Linked DNA regions of Kluyveromyces lactis. Each later gene encodes a partner of the first gene's protein in a complex. Links are inferred from orthologs where the notes say so. Each region holds a gene or a part of one and is shown in the gene's direction. Other genes may lie near its edges.

Region 1 (2,561 bases):
TTAAATCGTCCAGAAACGAAAAGTACAGATTGCCAAGGGTTATAGTCTGAGTAAAGATAACGCTTGACAATCACTGGGCCTTATAGTTCCCAGAAATAGTCATTACGTTTAACGGCAGGTCCGTTAATCTGGTTGGTGAATATCCGTATTCCACGTTAACCTGTGTCAACAGCTGTGATGCGGTAAAATCTATACGAACATGCGGTGGCCCAATTGCTTGAGATGTGACAACATCGGTTCGTTGTCCACCTTTATATCTCAAAATCAGAATCTGATCCTGTTCCAGCATGGGCAGATCCCATTGGATGGTACCATCCACTTGGTTATAAAATCCAGTAGGTTTAGATAAAATATCTTGGGCCTTGGTGCCTATCTTTATACAAACTTTCAATAGTGTATAATTGACAGGAATTAAAGGTCTTAAATTGATCATTGAGATGATCTCGGCCTCTTTGAACTGCCATACGGGTGTCACTAGAATCGGACATTGAACCTGTGGTAAATTTGTCACTGCATATTTCACTAATCCTGTAACCACGTTGTCCCATTCGCGTTCACGTTTCAATTTGTATATATTCTGAACCACATCCACTGGCTCCAGGAATGTGTCGTTAATCTTAACGGAACTAACATTATTGAATTTCATATACAAATCACTCGTTCTTTGATCCCACTTGGTACCATTGATGGCAACTTCGCCAACAAGTGATACGTTCGTTATATTATCGTCTGTGATAACACATGACAAAGTCTCTACTATATCACCATTAATCTCTGGTAATGGTGGTGACTCTGAATCTGGTCCTGATTCTCTCAATTTCAGTATATTCTCCCTCTCCTGTAACTGTAGCAGTAATTCCTTGGATCTGACAAGTTCCTGGGACACTTCAGAGAACAATTCACTATTACTATCGAATTTTGTCTCTTTGAGTTCTTCTAGCGATTGAATATAGCCCTGCACTATTTCTGCAAAAGCTAGAACATCAGACATTATAACAGAAAGACTTACTTTTTGAGACGTGCAAGGCAAACAATATAACCTATAACTATAATAGACAGCTTTAGAATAGTGAAAGTATCATGCAATGATGAACGGACGTAACATATATCTGTATCAAATGAAGATCTATTCGAGATATAACACCATTTGATCAAGAGATTGGAAAAAGCGGTACTTTCATTACCCGGACGTGGATATTGAAGCTTGTCAATTCCAAAAAAAAGTTTGGAAAGCTACCAAATGAGCTTATAACATGATTTCAATAAGGAATGTTCGAGGGGTGGATCCAGATCACCTGTTTGAACTAGCATCAAACAGCCAATTCTTCTGCTGTGTTACTCGATAAGTAGTATACTCGGATATCAGAGGCAATAAGAACCAAATACCACGGAAAAATAGCCCAAACTATGTTGAGACTAGGAATCAATCTACAGAACCGTCTTTTGGTTGGACTAAATGGACAATCTCTTTTGAAAAGAGCCGTTACACGCAATGCCGTTGCCATCAGAATGAATAGCACTAATGCTGGTAAGACAGCTTCTCATGAAATGACATGGCCAGAATTCTTCAAGCTACGTAAAAAAGAACGTGTTTTCAACACGGCTTCTTCGGTTGCGACAGCCATAGTATTCGTTAACGGTTCGTGGTTTTACTTCTCCACTTTGGAAATCGATCCAACTCAAACAATCTTTGGATTCGATCCACTAATGGCAATTACTGCTGGTATGATCACATGTGCTGCTGTTGGTTGGTTATTGGGACCAATTGTGGGTACTGCATTGTTTAAGGCCACTTCCGGTCCCAAATTATTACAGTTTCAAGAGAAGCAACTTTCATTTTTGGCCAAAATCCAAAAGAACAGAGTCAATCCTCAATCACAATCTTTCAGTAACCCTGTGCCGGATTACTACGGTGAAAAGATTAATTCGATACCACAGTACAGACAATGGCTAAGAGATTGTCATTCTTACAAAAGAAAGGCTAGTGAGTTCTTGTGAAGCGGAAAAATACCAGAAAAAGTATGATGACTATCACTCTCCCACCCAAGGAAACGCCTTTCCGTAAGTACAAGTAAATAGTAAATAATAAATAGTGGTTGATATCTAAAGAAACATTCGTTAAATCAGCATTAGCAATTGCGTAATGGTATATGCCAGAGAAACCGGAATGAAAAGGATCGATACCCAACAAAAAAAAGTATATTTGGATGCGGCGAGGTTCGAACTCGCGCCTGTTAACATTAACAGACCTGCATATTCCGGGTAACCGTGTCCGTCACTCGCAATCCACTTCTGCTCTACCCGCACCCAATAGCCGCCAAGCAATCAGTGAAGATTTTCTGGAGGACCCACAAATTTTTGATTTTCGGACCAGGCCCCTTACAACTCGCACAAAACTGCGTAGAAAACCTCTGTTTAAAGGTTTAAGGAAACGGCTATCGCAATTTTCTTGGCCCCCCCAAAGGTAAAGCAGAATGTGTCAATTGGAAAGCGACGGAGACGGTTTTGATGCCGCATTGAGTCCGCATGCTCATTTCTTGTCCCTGAAGCAGGCGCCTTAA
Region 2 (2,716 bases), on another chromosome or scaffold:
TGTTCCATTTTCACCTGTGGCTTAACTTTTGCGCTTTCCATTTTAGCTGATGGCTTTAAGGTCGGAATTGGCATGACTTGTTTCTTGCAAGCAGCTGGTGCAATTTTGGCACGGATGGGCTTAGGCTGGGTATGAGTGATCGATGTTGTCTGTTCAACTTGTATTGCTTTTGACTTGGCGTTTGTAGATTTACAGTTAGTCAACGGGATAGTTGATGATGATGATGATGATGAGGAGCTTGCGGTTGGCACTCCTGTACGGACTGCAGTCGTTGTAGATGACGCTACTGTACCTTGATCAGAAGAAGAGCAACTTTTACCAGAATCAATAACAGTGGCAGCCAAGTGTTTTTTCGATCCCGGTCTCAAATTCTCAACTTCTTTCACTGATTCCACAGGTTCTTGTTTAATCTTGGCATTAGTACTTGAAGCAGAAGCAGGCGTAGTGGACTCTACAGCCATACCCTTGACATTTGCCAGTTGCTGCTTTATCGATAAAGAAGGACTGGGTTTTCTACCCGGTTTAGGCCTCGGTGGAAGAACCCAGTGCCTAGACGTTCGAATCGTGATCCCAGTGGGTTTCTCATGTTTCTTCGGCTGTAAATTAGGAGCAATTGTAATCTGCTGATGAGGCCCAGTGTGTCCGTGAAGGGGCTCCAATGAAACTGGCCTGGACATTAGTTAATTCTTACTCTGTGTCTGAAGTGCTTTTATTATAGAATTCTCTCCGGACCAGCGAAAACAATATTAACTGGTTCGGAACCGGAGCCGTAACCAGAGTTGCGAAGTATGCGTTTGAAAGTAGGATACAAAAACCTTACGGCGAGATGCAACCTAAATTAGTTTGAACCACCTGCGATACGATTGAATCACGCTTGTTGAGTCCTTGTGTGTCTGTTAGAACCTGTTTTAGTTTCGGAGAAGTCGTTTGTTTCGGTAGAATTAACTACTCAACTTTTCAATTTAAACCGAAATTGAGAGAGAGAGAGAGAGGGGGAACAATGGTAAAAATGAGGGCATGATACATCAAGACGAGCCATCATGAATTTATATATCTCAGGCCATAAGATAGTATGGCCTGAGTACTAAGAGGTATCTCAAGTTTGAAATGGGGATTGGGTGTTGAGTTGCTAATAATTGATCACGTGACCATGACCCCAGATACAAAGCCACGCTCCCAAACTGGATCCCCCCCCTCCTCCCCGTTACAGTACTACGCTAGTACTAGCATGCTGAATTCACATCCCCAATCAATGCAACAGCAGCGTAGCTGCTGTTGCTGGGATCACCTATCGTTTAATTTCTTGATACCTGCGTCGTTTCCGATGCCACATTCTACAATGTGGAATGAGAAGCTAAAACCTCATAAAAATACCCTATAAAAAGCCTGAATGAGCGAATGCAATTACAAACTCCATCTGTAGTCATTGTAGACTAGCTAAATCATTCTAATGAGGCATAGCTGTCAACCAGATATATAGTTATTTGACGGTGTCACAGCAAATATGTGGGGCTGGTCTTGACATCCCCGGGTAACCCCTTCTGTTTTCGAAAAGTCATCGAAAAGTTGAGAACAGAAAGAACTGGAACTAATAACAGCATTAAACACTAAACTACTCATCGGATTAACTTCTAAGCTTTGTCTAAGAACGCCGTTCCAGTTCGAGTAAACTGCGCATATCCAAGAAATACAACAAGACTATAGGATATGGCACACAGAGCGTTTATACAGGTGATTTTCACCGGGGCACAGGTGTTTGGACGTGCGTTTGCGGAATCTTACAGACAAGCAGCAGCTCAAACAGCTAAACAAACGGCAAATGCTTCTAGAGGCCGTGGTGCTAGCGCAGAATACGGAGGTATCACTTTAGATGAGAGTTCTAAGATTTTGAACATTGAGAATGAACAGGATATGAATTTGGATAAAATCAACGAAAGATTCAAGTATTTGTTCGAGATCAACGATAAAGAGAAAGGTGGATCATTCTACTTGCAGAGTAAGATTTACAGGGCAGCAGAGCGTTTGAAGTACGAGCTTGCTGAAAAGGAAAAGGCTGCCAATCCAGAACTGAATCAAGAACAAGCGAAGTCGAGTTCCACGACGGAGTCACCGGAGTTGAAAAAATAGCGTAAGGTCATTCTCTCTGGCCTAGTATAAGTTTTGTAAATAGTTCAAATAAACCGAAATACACGCATCGCATGCTCATCGTATCATGTTCAGCACAATATCATCAGTGGTTGATGAAGCTGATTTATGTCTACAACTAATTAATACAAAAATTCTCTAGAAGATGGGAAAACTGTTCCATCATGAAGAAGGGCACAACGGAGAGTGAAAATCCAAACTCTCAGGCAGCCATTACGCAAAGCCCTCTGGATCACATGCAACACCTGGAAGAACAACTAGAGCGAGCTGTTAAACCGCTTCTAATCATCACTTTCCAGACCTCTTCATAATGGTTAAAAGAAAGAAGTGATGCAAAAAACCGGGAAAAGGAAGAGACTTCCCCTCCCAACTCAATGCGCTTCCAACTTTATTGATCTAAGAAACCGGAAACGAAATGGAAACTGTGGCCAGCTTGTTTGGGGCTAGTCAGGATCCATTCAGCTATGGGTTAAAAAATGGTAACAGTCACTCTTCTCCAGTATTAACTAAAGCCGTTCCTAGATCTCCGAAGAAACCTAGGAAAAACTTCTTGAGAAAAGAGATAACCGAA

The links.
Region 2: PAM17 (region 1) and PAM16 share a complex: the UniProt entries of both Schizosaccharomyces pombe proteins name them as parts of the PAM complex. The link is inferred for Kluyveromyces lactis from reciprocal best matches to the Schizosaccharomyces pombe genes pam17 and tim16.

The regions. Positions count from the first base shown.
Region 1 is NC_006037.1:561,577-564,137, reverse strand, and holds PAM17 (Pam17p), read left to right. Parts: upstream 1-1,407; coding exon 1,408-1,998; downstream 1,999-2,561. Other genes in the region: KLLA0_A06127g (uncharacterized protein), read left to right, coding at 1-50; SYP1 (Syp1p), read right to left, coding at 71-991. UniProt on the Schizosaccharomyces pombe protein: Component of the PAM complex, a complex required for the translocation of transit peptide-containing proteins from the inner membrane into the mitochondrial matrix in an ATP-dependent manner.
Region 2 is NC_006042.1:1,282,571-1,285,286, forward strand, and holds PAM16 (import motor complex subunit PAM16), read left to right. Parts: upstream 1-1,707; coding exon 1,708-2,127; downstream 2,128-2,716. Other genes in the region: transcription factor HAP4, read right to left, coding at 1-677. UniProt on the Schizosaccharomyces pombe protein: Essential component of the PAM complex, a complex required for the translocation of transit peptide-containing proteins from the inner membrane into the mitochondrial matrix in an ATP-dependent manner.